Linked DNA regions of Astyanax mexicanus. The protein of the gene in region 1 interacts with the protein of each later gene in a pairwise test. Links are inferred from orthologs where the notes say so. Each region holds a gene or a part of one and is shown in the gene's direction. Other genes may lie near its edges.

The links. The genes of interacting proteins can lie anywhere in the genome.
Region 2: the proteins of nfyc (region 1) and lmo4b interact in binary tests that used the Homo sapiens proteins (3 or more experiments, as listed by UniProt). The link is inferred for Astyanax mexicanus from reciprocal best matches to the Homo sapiens genes NFYC and LMO4.

Annotation. Positions count from the first base shown.
Region 1 is NC_064410.1:49,640,380-49,650,703, forward strand, and holds the start of nfyc (nuclear transcription factor Y subunit gamma), read left to right. Parts: upstream 1-6,156; 5' UTR 6,157-6,309; intron 6,310-6,676; exon of another isoform or gene 6,677-6,701; intron 6,702-10,324. Other genes in the region: uncharacterized protein si:ch211-13c6.2, read left to right, coding at 1-46, 726-1,551, 2,134-2,185, 2,654-2,725, 2,797-2,898, 2,992-3,700, 3,863-4,062. UniProt on the Homo sapiens protein: Component of the sequence-specific heterotrimeric transcription factor (NF-Y) which specifically recognizes a 5'-CCAAT-3' box motif found in the promoters of its target genes.
Region 2 is NC_064412.1:49,900,359-49,911,434, forward strand, and holds the start of lmo4b (LIM domain transcription factor LMO4b), read left to right. Parts: upstream 1-6,138; 5' UTR 6,139-6,656; intron 6,657-11,076. UniProt on the Homo sapiens protein: Transcription cofactor. Plays a role in establishing motor neuron identity, in concert with MNX1, acting, at least in part, to disrupt LDB1-LHX3 complexes thereby negatively modulating interneuron genes in motor neurons.

The DNA of each region.
Region 1 (10,324 bases):
AAATTCCGGCCAGTAACTCGTTCAATGCTGAAACAGGCTAAACAAGGTAAGGAGTTTTCATTCTTTTCCATCCTGCAGGACCTCAAGCAAGCATAGTATCTCCTGCATTTAAAATGGAAACAAATATAAAGCACAACAATATTCAGTGTGGCATGTAATAAATCACTTGTGTGCGTAATCGCACAACATAACCAAAAAATATTAAACTCTTACATTGACTTGATTACAATAGTAAGTGCATTTACAAACACTTAATAATAATGATGAACTGCTGAAATTTTGATGTTTTTCTGTTAATACATTTAAAAAGACCTTAGTAATCTGATAACAAGAACTTTTAACAAATGTGATGTGCAAACGTACAATAACTTTACAGCAAAGAGTTATTTCTTTTTTCTGTTTAATCTTTGTGTGTAAATAAAAACAGCAATAATTAGCTAACGGACAAGAAATAATTATTATTTGTGAGCATGTGAGTGCACTGAATGAAAATAGGAGTATTAGTCCTCAGCTTAATGTTAATAACCTAAGCTGAAACATGTATGTTTCTGGAAACAATAGCATTTGTCATCTTTAGGCTTAATATAGCAATATGGCTCAACACCACCAGTCCACAGTTTGAAAATCTCAGTTTTAAACCCTTTTTTTTATTCTTTGTCATTATTAATTGAAAAAAAAAAATAACAGTTTGACACCTTTTTTTTTTTTTTTTTTTTAAATCACAGCAGGCCCCAAACCAACACAAGGCTCTCATTCTCACGCATATGAAGCATCATCTTATGGCCAAGACTGGAGAGGGCAGGCTCACTTAACCACAGATGGATATAGACAACCGGATTTTCCAAACAATGTTTTTGGGAAGCCATCTCAATTTCATGGGAATGACCAGAATGATCGTCCCAGAGGTGATGCAGCTCTATGGCAAGCTTATCCAAACACTGACCGACCTGAAAATGCATATTATCAAGATGGCAGACCAAGACCTTATCAAAATGAAGGCTACAAAGAAAAATTACCATATCTTGAAGGAGATGGTAGTGTAAGGTCTTTTGTAGAGGGTGATGGTAGTGGAAGACACCATCTAGACAAGGCAATTCCAGGGAGCTCTTATCGCAATGAGCATCAGGATCAGTACTACCCAGAAATGGATCCCAGAAGAGGGTGGAACTCGAGTGGAGTTGTACAGCAGGATCTCTATCATGGCGGTGTTCCAAGAAGCAGGTTTGCTGACACAGACAGGAGTGGTCCAGCTCAGCACCCAGAAGAAATGGTCGGACAGGTTCGTGGTCAGATGTACGCGTCACGTGATGGAAGAGGACATAGTATGGAGGAGATGCAAAGACCTGGCAGAAGCTTTCAGAATATGGAGAAAGGAACAGACTATCTCCAAACTATGATAAGAGAAGCAAGAGCTGGAACCTATGAGATGCAGGAATATGCCAAAAGGGGTGGTATGGGAGATTATGCTCAGGAACATGTCCCACACAAAAAGAAAAGGGAGAGTAGATTTTCTGATGCCACACCAAAGGAGGTTGAGCTTGCACAGAGGAGGTAATGTCTATTTCCAATTGATGGCAATCTATCAAAGAATGGAGCATGTTTTAAAGAAGAAATCCAGTGTGAAATCAACTTGTAGAGGTGAAAATGGTGTAGTAAAATATGATAAGTGTAAACTTTTGTGGAGTAGCCCACCTCCATTCACCCCCAGCATTCTGAAATACAGCACTTTTAGCCGATGCTCCCAACAGGCTTACAGTGCTGGTGATGGGGGCATAGCATTGCCCATGCAAAGACATCGCCACTTTTTTTAATAAACTTTTTTATTTTCTTTGTTAATGGTGTGAAAATAGCCGTTTCTTTGCACCTGTCACCAGCATTGTAAGCCTGTTGGGAGTATTTGCAAAAAGTGTTGCATTTCAGAATGCTGCGGGTGATCAGAGGTGGGCTGTGTGACAAAAGTTTCTACTCATCATATTTTACTATACCTCCATTTACACATGATTTTTACATAATTTAACAAACTTCATATTTTTTTTTAATATGTAAAGTTATATGTGCTAGTTTTGTATCTTTTATGATTCACTTTGATAACCCTTGTACTTAAGATTTCCAATGTATATATATTTTTTTCAGGTTTAAAGAAGGCACATTTCCACCCATGAATCAAAGTAGAGGCCCAGTTCAGGTGTGTTTAATGGAAAGTTGTCACTGCTCCAAGCATGTGTACTCACTAGATCATTGTGCGTGCGTGCGTTGAACATCTATTAATGAGATTTCTTGCCATCACGTTCTTGTGATTAGATTACAGGCAAGGTTTGCATCTTATGACTCGTCCATTAAAGTACTGCATAAACAACACTTTGCTAAACTTTGTTGTAAATACTCAACAGTAATGTAGACGTTCTGACTGTCTGTTGGTATTTAACATTATTTGATCCACCGGGTCACTTGTGTTGCTTATGTGGCAGAAGTCATATTAACTTCTGCCCAGTGACATTTGGCATGTTGGTTTGTTGTTTTTTATGTTTTGTTGGCCTCAGATGCTCTAACAACTACAAGTACAAAATGACAAAAGTCATTTGGCCAAAGGTCCTTAAGTGTATTTGTTTTTTTTTTTTTTGGTCCTAATATCATATCAAAAATGTCTATACAGGTATTTGAAGAAAGAAGGGCTTTAGATTCGATGCACACTGCTGTGAACTCGGAAAATGTTTTGGACGTGCTGGTAAGTGTAGACGATTAAACAAATAATTACTGTCATTGTTTTGTGTTTTTACTTTTTTTTTTTTTTTTAAGGATGGGGTCCAAATTGACAGTGCAGAAGAGGCTAACTTCTTGAAGCAAAAGTTGTGCGATGTTCTGAAGCAGTTTCATGCGAATAAATCTCAGCGTTCTGAGGTTTGAACTGGATCCTTGTCTTTTCACTACTCTAAAATAAGGTTTATCTTATAAATTCTAAATCTTTTTTTCCACTCCTCAAACACATCCCAGGTCTCTCCAAGTGACAGAGAGTACAGGAGTGACGTATGGATGGATCAGCGGAGGAACGCGCAGGAGATAAGAGAGTCCGCAAGATATGACCGTGATCTTAGAAATTTAACAAATGATTCCACGGGCGTTAAAGAGACATGGCCATGGCCAGAGAAAAATACCAGAGATGTTCAGGACCCAAGATATGTTGAAGACCAGAGACCTGATACAAGATATGAAAATCGTTCTACAGATTTTCAAGAATCAAGACCTTATGCAGACTCTCAATCAGATTTCCCACAGGCAAGAAGGTTCAAGGACAATCCCAGAGATTTTCAACACGGTGGCCAATTTGGAGAAAATCGTATGGCTTTTCAACAGGAAAGAGGGTTATGTGACAACTCCAGGGATGTTCAGCAAGCGGGACATTTTGAAGATCATTTTTCAGCATACCGGCAGGCCAGCAGTTTTAAAGAGAGCTCAAGAGCAGGACATGTCGAAGAGGACCCCAGAATCTTTCAGAGCATGAGACACACCGGGGGTACTGAAGAAAACAGAAGTTACGAACAACAATTTGAAGGAGCAGTATTGGGAAGACATGGCGATCGTGACTTCAGACGCGTTGATGCTCAGCATGAATTTGAATGGGGTGCACAAAGAAATAGATCGACTGGTCGGTCTGATGAGTTCAAGGATTATCATCCAGATGCTGAAAGAAAAGCTTATCAAGGTAGGCTGATGAGCAGTTCTAGTTTCTTCTAGTTCGATGTCTGTTTAGAATATTTTATACTTTGCGTATATTTATTGTCTAAATCTTAGAAGAAATAAAGGGTCGAAAAGAAAATTTAAAAGCTGATCAAATCCCAATTTTGTTTCACACTTATCTTTTCAGAGGGCCATTGGAAAACCAGGTCGCTCAGAGAAGATCAGGCATATGGCGAGAACCAAGCGCATATGCCTCATTACCACGTAGATCCAAGTACAGAACTCTACGATCCATTTCATCCATCATCGTCTCCACCACCAGCACCACCCCCCTCCAGTCTGGAAAAGCTGGCTTCCACTCTCTTGGAGCTTGTGTCACGAAACTGAATCTGAAAGGATTCCTAAGTGTAATGTACATAGATTTGTATTTGCTTATTTTGTGTAACGGTTAATTATAAATGTGTCATGTCTATTAGAAATGAATAACAGACATAGTTCTTTTCTGTTCTGATTGGATTGTATATTGCATTTGTAGTTGTTTTGATCTTTTTGAATTGTTGGCTGAATCTAAAAGAGAATTGTTGTTGCAGAAAATACCAGAAAAAATAAATTTTTGTTCCTAAAATCCTTCTGTCTCTTTCCTTAATTCCTCATGTCAATTTTCTTTCTGGCCGAGTTGTTCAGTGTTAACATTGGGGGGGAAAATGCAGACTTTCTGACTCCTAATAATGAGTATGAAAATAATTATCCCATAAGAGCCCAGACCCAGTTTTGAATATTGATTCAAAATAATTGGATCAGTTATATTGAGCAGCCCATTAATGATTCTTCTGATCGTGATCAAGGTCACAAAACTTCTGTAAATCTTTTAAGGTTTAAATCCCAAAGCAACACATCACAATGACAATTTCACAACATGTTTCATCATTTTGTTCAGCTTTGTAAATTGGCTTTTGGTAAATGGGGTCAGATGCACACATTCACAAACTGCCCTGCTACACACCCAGGATGTTTACATGCGTCACTTGAGGATTTCATAAGTTTGACTGAGGGACCAAGTACTGTAAAAAAAAAAAAAAAAAAACGCTTTCCGAAAGGACTGAGACACATTACTGGGAGGAGTTTTAGTTGTTGAATGAGCCATGGAGAAATGAATGTGTTCAAACTTATCTAACATGGTTTAAACCACCAGATTTGCAGTGACAGCAAAAAAAGGACACCTACTACTGCAGGACACAGCGTAGCTGAAGCTGAAAACATAAAAGGAGGAAGTAGATGCCGGTCGAAAGAAAATGTATTTTTATGTACCATTACTGAGACCATATTACCTTTTTTTACTTCATGTTTTTTCACTTGTTGACTGTACATGTCAAAATGCAGGAAGGTAGATCTCCATAATGAGTACTGATAGCCAGTACTTTAAAATAATTGGTGTCCACATTTCACCATATAATGTATTTAAGGATTTTGGAGCACACTGTTGTCTTTCCCATAAATCTGCTATTTTAATAAATAATGCTAAGTGATTCTGTCCCTCATCTTTTGTCCCCAGCCTCGTACCCTGGGTCATGCTTGATTATACGGTTTAGCTTGGGCAGTTTGATCATGCATCAACTGAACTTGTAGACCAGCTAAACCATCAAACTTCTACCCAGGCTGTTTTGTTTTTTTTGGTAGGGAAACCATGTTTGCATGAAAAACCATTAAATTGGTAAAGAAAATCAATCGAGTACATCTAGTGAAGTTTTTTTGAACATTCACTTTAGGCATATACATCTTTATTACTATTACTACTAAATATGCATTAACATTTGACTATCAAAAATAAAGCTGCACAACAGGGTGGATTGTAATAAAAATGTGGATGATCATTGGAATTCACCATTTGAAATCACCAATAGAGTTCATGGTGACATTGTTCAGTTTCAAATATACATTTTAATTTCCTTATAATTTACAATGACAGGGTAGAAAGCATTAGCTTTGCCTCAGCTATATATGTTTGTAAAAATTAATGAATATCACATTAAATTAACATTATAAATTGCTGAATATGCAGGAAGGGTCTTTCATCCCTTAAAAAAAGACAACAATCCACAGTAATTTACTGGTAATTCACAAAACTTGGTTGAGATTTGGGGAAGCTGCTTTTAGCTATTATGGCCCAAACCTTTGGAACGCAAAGCCATTTCATCTTTACACATTTTTAAAAAGAGTATTAAAACATTTTTATTTAAATTAGCATTTTCATGTGTATATTTTTTTTGTGTAAAGCACTTTGGGTTGCACTTGTGTATGAAAAGTACTGTATAAATAAAGATTATAATTATTATTTATTATAATTATTTTTTTATTATTGTGTAAATATGCACAGTTGAAATGAGCGGGCTGCTCTCGCCGAGCCAATCGTAACGGCGGAGGGCGGGGCTTGCCGGAATACAGGTGGACTGCGCGCTTTACAGGTGGGTTTCTGTTTTGAACGTCACGGTAAACGTAACACTTATTCCGGTTTGAAAAGAAGTTGTCAAAGCGTCGGCCATCTTGGCTCCTGTATCACCCTGAATTAAATTAAAATAGCGCTGAAGAGGACTGACTACAGGACTACAGGACTGCTGTACGGGTTCATCACCGAGAGTGAGTACAACAGCGGGACGCGACGCGCCGCTCCGGCTCGGTTTTAATGGCGGGTTGGGGTTAGATTAGGCGGAGGTCATGAGAGAGCCCTCGGCCAATGAACGGCCTCATCCAATGATTGTTTTGGAGGATGAACATGGGCGCCATTTCCCTCCTCGCTCTCTGAGGCGCTTATTGGTGGCTAGTGGAGAGGAATGGAGGCGGTCGGGAAACTGGCGGCCACTATCCGCCATATTGGCTCCGGGCTCCGCTGCGGCCGGTTGAACGCGGGCTTTGTGTTGAGCCCGAATGGCGTTGGTTTTCAACTCGCCAGCCCTTAGAAAGCTTGATTGGTGGAATCTAGTCCGGGGTTTGATTGGTCTGAAGGACAGATCCAAACGTAGTCTTTATTGGTTAGTATGTCTTTACAGCGCTTTACAAATATTTTAAGACACTTTAGCGTGGGGCTGCTGGATGTGTGACTGGACGCATCGCTCCGCTTTTAGTCCACAAACAAGATACTCGCGGCCTGCTGATAATAGCGAGCATTGTCTCCAAACTTTCACCAGCTCCTGTTTAAAACGCACATTAACACGCTGTCCGCCGGCGTTCATAAGGCTAGTGATCATACTGGCTTACAGTAACTACACTGTGTTACTGCTGAGCCAGAAGCCGCGCTGCCATTCACTTTCATTACAGGGTTATATTTATTAAACGATTTCTAGCTAACATAGTTTAGCTTAGATTGGTGTTAGCAGGCTAACGCTAATGGTCATGTGGGTTTGTGTTACGGCGAGCACAAATATTACATATTTGGTTATAGCATCACTTTACACTGTTTAAAAAAAACAACATAAAACAAAAAAACATGCAAATACTCCATCAAACAGGCTGTAAGAACTTTAATTTTCGTGCTTTCCCGCGGTAAACATTTGTTTGTACATAGCTTGCTAACTTATTAACTAGCTAGTTAATGTCTGTGCCAAAATAGCTAGCGTTAGCTAGTGATAGGTTAGTAGTTAACTAACCATATATATAAGTTATATATTTATAATATGTAGCCTTAGCTAGTTAACCCTCTATGAAGGAAAACTGTGGATATTAGTTATCAAATGACAGACTGATCATTGGGATCAAAGCTATAGGTACTTTTGAGCAGCATAACAGATGTCATATCGTAACGTGAGCAAAAATATTTCAAAAATACCCTGATATATAGTCGTATATTTTAGCACCATATGGACCATCAGGGTAAAACAATTGCTCTTTGTAGCAAAAGGAAAATTCACACTTCTAATTTCCCATTAAGTACCTGCTAGAGACAGATTCTATTTGTACAGTATTATTTATTTTACTTCATTTCTGGATATATGGAGTGCATTGTTAGTATCGTGACATTATTGATGATCTGCAGTAAATCTCAGTTAGGACTTTGGTTCATTAAATCTGCCATATGCCACATGCAATAAAATCAAACATTTCCAAAGTTACTATAACATATAAATCAAGTCTTGCTTGGTCTCAGAAAGTAGGGTTTATTCAGGGGCACTGTGTTTGTGTTCAAGTTACTGGTTACAGTAACTGTGTACTCTAATTTCCAAAAAAACTGGAATCACCACAAGATACAAGAAGTTTTTGACCTTTCATTTTCTGGCTCTACTGCCCAAACCTTCAGTACTTCTTCTCCTGACAGCTCTCAGTCTAACTCACATTCACAGTTCTGAATAAAATCATTTCACCTTACTCATCTCTGTGCTTACTAAGTATGGAGCCTGTGGTTCACTACAGAGTACATTAAATAAATGCTGATTTTTCAAATAGTTAACATTGCTGTGCATGTCTAAAAAAACAATGAAATTAACTACCTGTGACAAAAATGTAACATCTGCACAAAATGTAATCACTTTTCCTTTTATTGCACTAAAAGTATTCAGAAGATTCAGGCTAGTTTTGGATCTCCCACAAAGTAATGCCAATCTTTTCAATGATAAAATATAGAGGTTATATTATGCATAATCCTTTTAATTGCACCACAAATTAGATTACTTTACATGGTTCATATGGTCATGAAAAACCTGGAAAAGTAATGGAATGGCAATTTTCAGTCCTGGATAAGTTTTGGAAAAATAAAAAAAGAAAATGGAAAAGTCATGGAAATTTGATCTACAAATCTTTTTGTTTCCATTTGTCAGCAGAGAAAATCTATTTTGAGCTACAAATACATCAGCTCGAAGTTAATTCAGTAATTTAGTCTGATCCATTTTTAGGCCTACTATAAATATATTATATCATATAATATTATATTATAGGTTTAGTTGATTTTTGGTTTTATTGTCCATGTCTGCACTCATGTTTTAAAAATTGTATGGTCATGGAAATTTGCCTTAAATTAGGAATATAAGGAGCCTCCTTCACATACTTTATGTATGATAATATCGGTGTAAACGGACTCTGCAGAATGTAATAACGATAACTAGTGATGCTGTACAGCTCCAGTAGGCATATTTGGGGATATGATTTGTCATGGTGCTCGTCACCTTAATCCAGAATAATCAGATGCAATTAAAACAAGCTCTTCAGCCCAGCCTCCAAGCCAGGACTTTACTTAATGGAAAGCCTTTGTAATTTACTACAAAGGATTATGTACTTCCTGATCTCATTTATCTAGTAAACTCTACTTAGCCTATTTGCAGTGAATTAATTCCAGTCGTAGCATGTTGGGCATTATATTGCTTTCTCATGGATATAAAACCAGCTGAACAGTCTGTGCTGAGTGACACAGTGCATTTAATATTTCAGCCGCTGTTTCTAACCACATTACCCAAAGACAGTGAATGTTGCTGTAACACAGGAAGTGAGGTCCTCTGTGGCAGTTGAATGGCATGCCTGGAAACCATGACTCTCATGATAGTGCACCTTGATCTGACTTGGTCATAACCTGTTAAGATGTCTGTTAAAACTTTTGTAATGCTTACTTTTGTAAGCCTTATCCAGGGCGCAGTTGCAGACATACTGTTTAATTTTTAAAACCAGTGACTGGTGTAAAGGGAGGTTTTGCACTCAAATCATCTACAGAGCTTTTTTAGGAAATAGGCTACCTTTTTTGTTAGTTATCCTGTTTAACCCAGTGTTGCGCAGTTATGTGAGATATATCCAGCTCAGTTTGAGGTTAATTAGGTCCCATTTCACTCAGCTGCATTTTTTTATGGATTATTTAGTAAACAGCTTCCCACATATCCATCCACCTTTGCTGTTCACACAGCAAATTTCCCAGCACAGTCACGGTTGTTCCTAGTGATGTTTGATATACCAGACCACTGTTTAAACTTTCAAAACTCGTCTGGCTAGTCTGTGTTCTTATATAATTGCTTATATTTGATCAAGTTGCAGGTAAGATTTTAGTTTTTAATGATTACCCTAATGTTTTTTGCTGGTTATTGGTGGTCATATATACATTTTTGTTTTATATCACATCGTGACCATGAACTGCTGATTCTTATTATTTGCACTATACTTACCACAAGCTGGAAATGCATATTGTCTTTTTGTGGGCATTGATTTTATTTTCATTTTCAGAACTTTTCTTTAGACAGTTGCTTAGAGGAGTCCATATTGTGTAAAAAATAAACCATTAGAAGCTTTGTAATTCATTTAGCTGGGAGTTTGTTACAGTAGGTTACATTGCATATGGTGGTTTATACATGCATTTTGTAGCTGCAGACATGCTTATTTTTCGCAGGCATACTTCACTCATTTTCAAAGGATGTGCATCAAAGCAATGCAAGCACCAGAGTACCAATTCTGCCCTCCTATGGAAAAATGACTAATTTAAACTATGCATTTATAGATGTGTTGATGTGCATTTTAAAAAATGCATTTAGTTGTATGTATTTATTTATCGAGATGAGAGAATTTGGGAAAAATGGTTTTCTTAACGCCCTACATATTTAAGTTTGGTTAGGTACACAGAAGAGCTACTACAAGAATCAGTGATGGCCAGATCTTATTTATTAAATTAATTGCATACATGGATAAC
Region 2 (11,076 bases), on another chromosome or scaffold:
TTACTTAACTTAGCTAACTTAGTGCTGTCTATAACAGCTTTTGCTGGTTACCTAAACCAACTGTGAACATGGAGAGCAGAGCAGTAAACATAAAGTCTTCTGATCATTCACTTATCAGTAAACCAAACACAGACAGGAATACACCTGAAGGGCTTCTGGACATGGTGAACATAAGGCTTGTGTTGTGTATAGTAAAAGTTGTAAGTGGTATTAGTGAATATAGTAACTCTGTATTGTAATAGAGAAGTGGGCGGAGCTTCTGGACATGGTGAACATAAGGCTTGTGTTGTGTACAGTAAAGTTGTAAGTGGTATTAGTGAATATAGTAACTCTGTATTGTAGTAGAGAAGTGGGCGGAGCTTCTTCTGGTCATGGTGAACATAAGGCTTGTGTTGTGTACAGTAAAGTTGTAAGTGGTATTAGTGAATATAGTAACTCTGTATTATAGTAGAGCTTGTTGGTGTCATTCTTTGTTCATGTTGTTCTATTTGATATTGCTTGTGTTTGGAACGTGTTGTAGGCCTTAAATGCAGGAATTGCTGTAAATCAGTAAATTTAATTGAGTTGAACACATTTAACATCTTAAATATCTTGGGGAATTTGCTTTTTCTTTACTGTCCCAAATTGTTTGTAAAAACACTTTGTGCCTCTATGATTGAAACACAACCCTAACATCATTCAGTGATATTATAAAGTGGATGAACTCGTATGTGTACCAAAATGCTTTAGGGCCCTAATTCAAAGTCATACTGTGTAATATTGTAACGTTATTAAACTTATGTGTTTCTCTGAAGAACACACTTCATTTTGAGGGATCGCCGAACCTCCACCAGCAGAAATCAATGGAGTTTGATATGTTTAACTTCACACAGGCCGTAAATATTTAACTTGAGTTTATATTGTTGTGCTTTTTCAAGTTACTATAGCCACGTATTGGGGTGGGGGGCTGTTTTCTGCAGGGATCCCTACAATACCCCTTTCTTTTATTCTATATTGAATATCATATTTCAATGATAAAAAAAAAAAAAAAAAAATCAGAAAAAGGGAAGTAAGTAATTTTTCTTGCCCATTTATGAAAAGCTCATTAAAAACAGGCAAAGAACAAACAAAGCTTCTCCTTTGAGGCACCCATTCAGACTCGTCCCCTAATTTCCCTCTAGTTTTAATAGTTGAGATAAATTAATTATTCCTTTGTGGAAAATACATTCTTTGCCATCTTTGGCTCATTGTTCCAGCCGGAGAGAATGGCGCCTAATCCTGGATGGAACAGAGTTCCCCTTCCAGCAGGGAAATCAGACCGCGCTCCGCAATCAACCACGACCACTCACAATTAAACCATTAAGACGGCCTACCGGAGACTCTTTACACACTGTACGTCTTATTAATGAATCCAGAGGCAACTCATAATTGCGCCCGAACTGATTAACTGCCCACTGAAACCCCGTCTCAGAGTGCCATGACACTTTTCACCTTCTGAACTACTCAAACAAACATTTCAGCACAATTCAACTTACAGAGTTACAGAGCCAACCACTGAAGTCCGAACCAAAGTCTGAACTCAGATTCATGCGTTTGTATACAGTACACAGTATACAGTATAGAGTTAATTATCAGAATACTCTCCCAGATGGCATGAAGAAACGGCCTGAGCTCGACTTTTGTATACTGCAAAAATCTAAAAAAATAAATATTAGGAAGTAAAATTATTAAATTTCAATGCAATAAATCTTATTCATCTTTTTTCTCTGATAAGAGTTTTTGTCTTACTAATCATTGTATAGATTGAATAGTAAGTGTAAGATTATTCAGCTTATTTTAGGAATAATGATCTTAATCAGACTCACAAAACAGAGGTACAAAAGGAGTACTTTTTTGTACTCAAAAGTACACTCTTCATAATTGTACCCTCAAAGGTACAATATTGGTCTTAACAGGGTCAGATTTGTGCCCTCTGAAGTAGAAAGTAATTCCTAACAGCAATAAGTACAAATTTGTACCATTTAACCAGGCAAAAGGTACATTCAGTATACTGTACCACTTTACTAATAAACAATATATATTTTATTTTCACATTTTTTTATTTGAAAGCCAGACAATTTTGCATCATGAAGTTCTTGACACATATTTAGTTGATGATAATGTTTATAATCTTTATAATCTTTACTGGCACAAAAAACATGGGAACAAAAAAAGACTTTCACTGAAAGGTACTTTTTCGTACCTTAATATAAGGTACAGCCCCAGCGACAAGCTTTTCACTCTTTTAAGTACAAATCTGTACTTACTTTTCTTAGTGTGTATTTTAAGTAGTTTAAACTTAAAATAAGCACAAACAAAGTCACCAGTCAAGTTATTCTGTTTCTTGTATCCAAATATAGGCCAAAAAAGTGTGATATTTTCTTGATTCAGGTGTTACTTCATTTATTTTGACACTTTGCTTGATTGCTTGTTATAATAAATCTAACTAAGAAAAATTAGCTTACCCCATTGGCAGTTTTTTTTTTTTGCTTAACATAGTTTTTGCCAATGGATTTTTTGCAGTGTATCATCGACTATTGGCATCGTCTATGTGGAATTGAGATGATGGCACTTGCAGCTCAGGCCAAATGTGGTTTACACTTGCGAACCAGGATGTTGGCAAAAGTGAAATGGGAGGATTCTCATATTATACTCTGCAACAGGGGCGTCGCCTGCCCTGGGCTTCCGGGCTATGGTTTTAAGTAAGCAACAGTAAAAGGTAACTATATTATTGCTAATATAAATTAGAAGTAAATTACATTGTTAAATAAAATGCTGGGAAAACTGGGGAAACTCTATGCAAAAGTGAAAGCTAGTGATGTTTTTTAAATGTTTTTAGAGTTTGTCATTTTCGTTTTCTGCCACATGCAGTTTTTTCATCTTGTTTCTAAGTTTTTTAATAAGACGGCAACAATCAACCATGCTGAATTACAGCACACTTTTAAATCCATCAAATATAAAAAAACTACATATTATGCAGGATGCTTAAAAAATATATGTAAAAAAATCTTATAATTGGCTGAGCTGAGCCCCGGGTCTTTAGCTGCCCATGCAACGCCCCTGCTCTGCAACCAGAGTGGTGGCACATACGGCTCAGGCTGATTGTCGTATTGTACTCAACAACCGAAGACTTGCCCCAGGCAGTTTAGGCTACTTATCATTGTCACACAACTTAGCCTGTGTCTGTCTTGTGTTTTTTCCTCTTTTGGTTCGATGTGCTTCTGCCCTCTGTTTTCCTGTCTTGTGTTCCCAGCCATGTGCTTTTTTAAGCACATGGCCATGTTGTGTTATTGTCCTGTCTTCGCCCTAGCCTTTCCCTAGCCATTAGTGTTGCCACCTTGTGTCTTGTTTGTAACCCCGCCCCCTCGTTTACTGGTTCCAGGTGTTCCTTACCCTCCTAGTGCATTTAAGCCCCTTTGTCTTAGTGTTTTTTGCTGTACTTGTATGTATGCGTCAGGTTTGTTTTTGATTTGAGTATTATTGTTTTCTAAGTTTTGATTAGTTTTTGTTCTGGTCTTAGTTATTTAGTTTCCCAGTTTAGATACCTGTTTTGTGTATCTTGCATTACTGGTGTTTGTTTTGTGTTTTGCTTTTGTTTAACTTTCCTGTGTGACAGTTATATTATACTCAACAACCGGGGTGATGGACTAAGTGATTTGAGCCAATTCCCATATTATACTCGACAACTGACGAACTGGAAAAAAGTGGACTCTTTAACCGAAGAGGTGTGGCTTGAGTCGATTGTCGTACTATACTCTACAACCAGAGAGTTCGCATTTGCGGCTCAGGTGAGCCCAGATGTGAGCCGAGCATTTGGGCCAGAATAGAGCCCAGATTCAAATTCGGATCTCTGCCAGTGCAACTCGTGCTCAGTGTGTGGTTTTTGTTATCAAGGGTGTCTTCTAGCCTTCAAAACACACAAATAATAAAGTAAGATTTTAATTTGCTACACTATAATCATAATTAAAAGGCAACACAGAAATCTCATTTTTTATAGCTCAACCACTTTTTATTTCCCGCAATGCATGCGCCCAAGGTGGACAATAACAGGGTGGATTATTATTATTATTTTTTTTATTTTTTATTATTTAATGAAAACATGGTTGATTTACAGTTGAAGACATGTTAAATTGTATACAGTAGCCTTGTATCTGTTTCAAAGACACATTTTAATTTTCTAAAATTCGTTTGATTTATATATGTCTAGTCAGAATGAATTAATAGAACTATTATTATTACTATTGATGATTTATTGACATAGCTGATGCCTGAAAAGGGATTCTAGCAGTAAAAACTACTCTAATGAAGAATAAGGAATCTTAATGAAGAGATCTTGTATTTGTTGAGTTCATTATTTACATTTTAAATATATATATATATATATATATATATATATATATATATATATATATATATATATATATATATTTTTTTTTTTTTTTTTTTTTTTCTGTTGGTGTTCTGTTGCAGTTTTGTTGCAGTTCTACAGAATTCTCTTCATTATGCTATAGTGACAACACCTTTATTTTCTAGTAGGTTCTTCTCTTCACCTCCTGCTATAGGAATATAAGCTTCCATTGCCCCTTAGACTAATGTAGTCCCCAAACTTTACACCAGCAGAGATGAGTAATCAATTATCAGCATTAAATATTGACGTTTAATGTATTCAGTTGTGTTTTTAGTGGTATAGTTCCATTTATGTCCAGATGATGGCGCCACTGTGTAAGAGCAGGTGCTGAAAAATGGCTTTGTGTTGGACAGTCAGTCACAGCAGCATCAAACTCACAGCCTGAAAAGTTCCTGTGCTCTCAGCTACATCTACAGCTACCAAAATATATATATATATATATATATATATATATATATATATATATATATATATATATATATATATATATATATATATATATATATATATATATATATATATATGCAGGTCAGCAGTGTTGCTCTGATATAGGGGTTGGTTGTGAAGGTGTTGCTGCTACATATGGTTAAATGTTGGAAAGCAACTTTATTTGGCTAATGGAACTGTATCCAAAACATGAAAATATGGTAGATGGTGCAACGCATATATTTGATAAATACAGCAGTGCCTACAAACATTAAGCTAAATGTTTTAGTCCCAAAACATTTAAATATATTTGGCTTAGTCTTCAAACATTTTGCTAAATGTTTGTCAAAAAAAAAACTTCTAAAAAAATTTCTAATAGGGCTGTGCCTGAAAATGTTTGGCTAAATGTTGGTATCCAGGAATATTACAAAAACGCTTGTCTAATAGAGCTTTGTCTAAAAACATTTGGCTAAATGTTTATATCCAAGTACATTGCAAAAATACTTGTCTAACAGCGCTTTGTCTAAAAATGTTTTGCTATATGTTGGTATCCAAGAACATTGTAAAAATACTTGTCTTAACTGATCAGTGTGTCTAAAAACGTTTGGCTAAATGTTCAAGTCCAAAAATATAGGGAGTTCAGAAACATGTGGTGGAATGCAACTCCACCAAATTCCATGGAATCCACACACATTTAGCTAACTGTTTTAACCCAAACACATTTAAATACATTTTGGCTAATTGTAGTAAGGTTTCAAACATTTGGCTAAATGTTTCAACAAAAAAAAAAAAAAAAAAAAAAAAACATTTAAAATAATTTGGCTAATAGTAGTAAGTCTTCAGACATTTGGCTAAATGTTTTGACCCAAAACATTTAAATACATGTGGCTATTAGTAGTTAGTCTTCAAACATTTGGCTGAACGTTGGAGTCCAAAAATATTGCAAAAAGTTTTGTCCAATAGAACAGTGTACAGAAACTTCTGGTTAAATGTTGGGAGTCCAAAAACGTTTGGTTAAATGTTGGAACGCAATACATCTATGTATCAGAGCTGTGTCTACAAAGGTTTGATTAAACGATGGAAAATATAAAAGTAGAAAAATTAAACTGCAGCTCACCTCCTTCACTCAGAACTCAATGTGCTGTATTGCGCTGCTCTGATTGGCCGGATTTGTTCATCCCCCGGAACGGAGCTCCGCACGATTGGCTGCTACAGATTGACGTGCTGCAATGTGGGCGGAGCCTGTGTGTTTTTTTATTATTTGTATTTTTTCTCAGTCACTGACACATGTAGAGCAGCGCAGCGAGCAGCGCGGAGAGAGAGAGACAGAGACAGAGACACGAGGAGCAGCGGCGGAGATTACGAGCCTCACACCGCGTTTCAGAGCTCTCACACCGGCCACAGCCTGAGGGAAATTACCGAGAGCTGAACGAGAGACCGAGCTGAGCGAGAGTACGAGCGGTGTCGGGTTCGGGAGAGACAGGGAGACGGCGGGAGGAGGCGAGGGACGGGTCGGAACCGGTGGAAATATAATCTGTAAACTCCATTTGCTGAAGCGGATCCGGAGCTGAGCAGCGCTGTAGCTGATTCTCCAGCCCGCCAGAGAGCTCACCACTGCCCGGATACCTCCTCATGCAGAGCCGCTGAGCTTTATGGACGATTTGTTTTGGTGTTTTTTGAAATATTTTGTTAATTTGACATTTTTTACCAGTTTTTGAACTGTTTCTTGACCCCCCACGGGACACAGAAAGAAAGCTACAGTCATTTAGACGCTTGAAAACGAATTTACTCGGCTGTAAAAGAGGTGAGTTCGGGTTTTTAATGGTGTAAAACTAGTCCAACTTTTAAACTTACACCCTTTTTAACTTAGAAAAATCTACATCTTACTATTGTCAGAATAATGTAATGCTTATATTTGTTTATTAAGCTTTTATTAAGGGTGGTTTACTTCCTCAGGTACAGCTGCATAGCTAACCTAGTAAACGTGCGCATTAATTAGGAATAAGCTCATTACAATAAGGATGCACGATACTGAAGAAAAAAAAAGGTGCATTGCGATATTTTTTCCTGCGATATATATCACGATATGAATTTTTTTTTTGAAAAATAAATAAATAAATAAAATCTAAAAAATTAACGATCCAACATGTCACAATATTGATAATCTAATAATGCTCTGTGTATTGAAGATTTGAGTGAAATCAATATTGATGTAATCTACTTTTGATAACTAATAGTTTGTTATAGATATGTCATTTAAAATATCTTTTTTGTATCAAACAGCAAAAAAAAGGATGCAGAAGTTATGTGAATATGTGTATGATATATTGTGTAGCCCTAGTTTAAATAGCATGGCAAAGACTGCAATAATGTCAACTAATATTCACAAAAAGTCAAGTCTGTCACTTGTTTTATCATACAATATATGTTTTTATACAGTATTTTGTACAAAATATAGTTCAATAGTTGTGCTGTTAGTAACACATTTTAAAACGTCCATCCAAATACCCTCCTATACACACAGCACTTTAAAATGATTTGTTTTAATCAAATGTTGCTACATACTTTTCATGTTAAACCACAGTACAGTAATTACACACTCTGTAATGCATGTAAAAAAAAGTACACACAGTTTAACTATAGCTCTAGAATTGCACTTTTTTTAATGTCAAAGGTATACTACTGTAATGAACAGGTATTACTTATAATAAGGTTTATAAGAAATATAAGATAAGATCATCCTTTATTAATCCAAACCACAGTGGGGGAATTGGTGTATTGCAATATTACAGCAGTGTAGAGGACAGAACAGATGGAAAATATGTTCAAAAATATACTAGACATTAGTATTACTCGTGCACATGATGACATAGACTAGTTAACAGATTAAACAGATTGTGCTACACATGGTGAATCAATGGGATACTATTATAGGATGTTGCATATATAGTAAACAGTATGCAGTTATCCTGCACCTGGTTGGACAGTGATAAAAATAAAGCGTTAATAGTAAATAGTAAAGAGCTGTATTGAAAAACCTTATAGAACTGGAGGAAACATTGTCCCCCATAGTGTATATGTTGTGTTAAACAGTAAACAGTGATGAATAAGCAAATTATTAAAAGCAAAAAATAAGTAAATAAGTTATAATATCTCTCTTAATGAAATTGAACAAAGTGAATAGAGTGTGCTACACATGGTGAATGGGGAGATATAGCATATAGTAAACAGTACACAGTTCTACAACAAATGGATGGACAGTGAGTAAATAGTACATAGTAAAACTTTATGTTGTACGTAGATGTAGATTAGAGAAAACATGTTTTCCCAGTATATAGTTTGTGCTGTTGTAGACAGTGCTCATTTATAATTGACTTAAGTTAACAATAAATAAATAGCAGATTAACATTAAAAAGATGTGATATTGGACATAGCATGCATAGTAAACAGAGTGACCAGATAGTGAGTGCTGCACATGGTGAACAGTACACAGTTATACAGCACCTGATTGGACAGTGATAGAAGTATTGTACATAAGTAAACAGTAAGTGTTTAGTGTTATTTTACAAAATGACATAGAAAACAGAGTGAACAGAGTGTGCTACACGTGTTGAATGGGACTATTATGGGATATTGCACATATAGTAAACAGCACACAGCACATGATCTTACTTTAATAGCAAAAAAATGTGATTTAATAGCAAATTACCAATAAATATGTAATATGAGTACTATGTATTATGATCATATAGTTCTAAACATGGTAGTACAAGTAGCCTGGGGGGATATTATGGATATTGAACATTAAACAGTAAACAGTTATGTTTAACAGCACATGGTTAGTGCTGTGATAGTGATGCTTAGTGTTATTTAAGTTATATTGTAGGAGTATAATATATTCATATATATTTATCAGAAATTATTCAATTTAGTCAGCTGAATGAAAGCAGTGTCTGTTATTTATACAGATGTTTAACATCAGAGAGGTCTGCGGTCACCATGCCGCTTATCTTCTCTGGCGAACGCTATATTTCGTGCTCGAGCTGCACGGCCGTGTAATTGCTTGAGTTAGCCCATTTAAGTTAAAAGCCTCCCCCCTTCCTCCTCCTCCTCATCCTCTTCCTCACCCACCTTCAAATCTCCCCTTCCTCTGTAGCCGGAATGAAACTTGACGATGGTCCGATCTTATTTATCAGGAGCAGTCCCTTTCTGTCCGGCCCCTCTGATTCATCTGCTTTTAGATTTAATCAGCACTAAGGTATTGCTTGTCCCTAAGAGCCTCCACTAATGGGGTTTATACTGAATGCCTCTCTCAGTGCAACGTTTTTCTACCCCTCCTCCTCCTCCTCTTCCCTCCTTCCTCCTCCTCCTCCTCCTCCTCCTCTAATTACCTTTCAACACAGATTTGGCTTAGCCCGCCATGAAGGCAGGCCTGACCAAATTGGAAAGGATTAAAAATTAAAATATATTAACTTAGTTGAAGGGCGGAACTGAGAAAGATGCATCTGTCGAATGCGAATAGATGACAAGATACACAGTCAACGTTCCTTAACATGTGTTCTTAAGTGTTTTAGCGTCCTTGTGTTCCTACCTGGCATCATTTTCTATGGCCCAAGTTGCATTCCAATACTTAAAAATGTATTTCCTCACTAGAAGTAAAAGATTTTTCCTTCTAAATTGAAAGTAGTAGGGCACATCTTATAGTAAACATATACATCAGTGCGCCACATACTGTATATTTATTCTAAAATCAAATTAGTCTGGTAGGTCCTCTGGCCTCTTTTTTTTTGTTGGCAACAACAGCTTTTACTGATTACCTGAGCAACCATGGTGCTGCTAATGGCACTGAAACAAGAGCCACTGCGAACATGGAGAGATCAGAAAGGCAAACTCTGCAAACAGACTTCATCTGTTCATTTACACATCTCTAAACCAAATAAACACAGAATTAAAACTGAAGAGAGCTCAAAGATAAAAAGGAGCTCAGCAGAATCCTCACTAAAATCACCAGATGCATTAATTCTGAAATAAAACTACACCACAATCATTAAAAAAAAAGTACTTTTTTTTAACATCCTCAGTACAATTACACACTATGCAATTTTCACTATGGATGCAGAGTGATAGCAGAATTATATCAATATCTGCCAATAATTTTACCTTTAGAGTCATTAGTATGGCCAATATTTCAAACAGAAACTTGCTCATTTATGTATAGTATGCTGAAAAAGGACAAAGTTATTCTGTCCCCACTAGAACAATTGGCCGACACTGGCCTCACTACTTTAAAATGGAAAAATCCATTGATTAAAACTAATAAAAATAAATAAAAACTACCTTAAAAGTTATAAAGTTATATACCAGGTTTTGTAGTCTCTCTGTAAGTTATAAATGTATATTGACATCTGCCCAGAGTTCATCTCTGTTTCTCACCTCTGTCACTTTAAATAAGTTGCTGTTATGTCAATACTGCATATGCATGTATTACAATGGCCAGTAACAGCAAAAAAAAAAAAAAAAAAAACAAAACAAAAAAAAACGATATATCTATCACAATATTAAAAGACATTTTTACCATACTCAATATTTACAAGCGACATGTTCTGGCCTGACATCATTTTCCACAGCCCAGGTCACATTTCAGTACACAAGAACACATTAAGGAAGCAGTTAGAGTTCCTTGGTGTGCTCTTGCTCTGCCTTTAAAAACAAGGATGCATCAGTTAGGAAATTGCTGACAATATTTGATAGAAATGCTAGAATAAGTTCTAGTATTTGAAATACTAGTTCTAATCTGTGCACATAGAGAAATAGGTAGTAAAGTTAAATCTAAGAATGTATCTTTGTATTAAGAGCAGAGGCACAGTACAGACTCGTGTTCTTGGGGAGATTGTTCTTAAAAGTTACCTTGTACCTTGAACACCAGAATGGTGAAAATCTATTGAAATGCTGTGTAATTGCCTGAATAATTGTATCAGGGTAAAAATAAGGTAGCAAGGTAGTTAGCTGACCTAACTGAGATGATTAGAAAGCATTGTTTATTTATATATATATATATATATATATATATATATATATATATATATATATATGTATATATATATATATATGTATATATATTTTTTTTTATTATTTATTTTATTTATTTATTTATTTTTTTATTTCACTTACCGTTTATAGTATAACTTCTATTAGAGCTGGGCAATATATCAATAGTTTGTGTA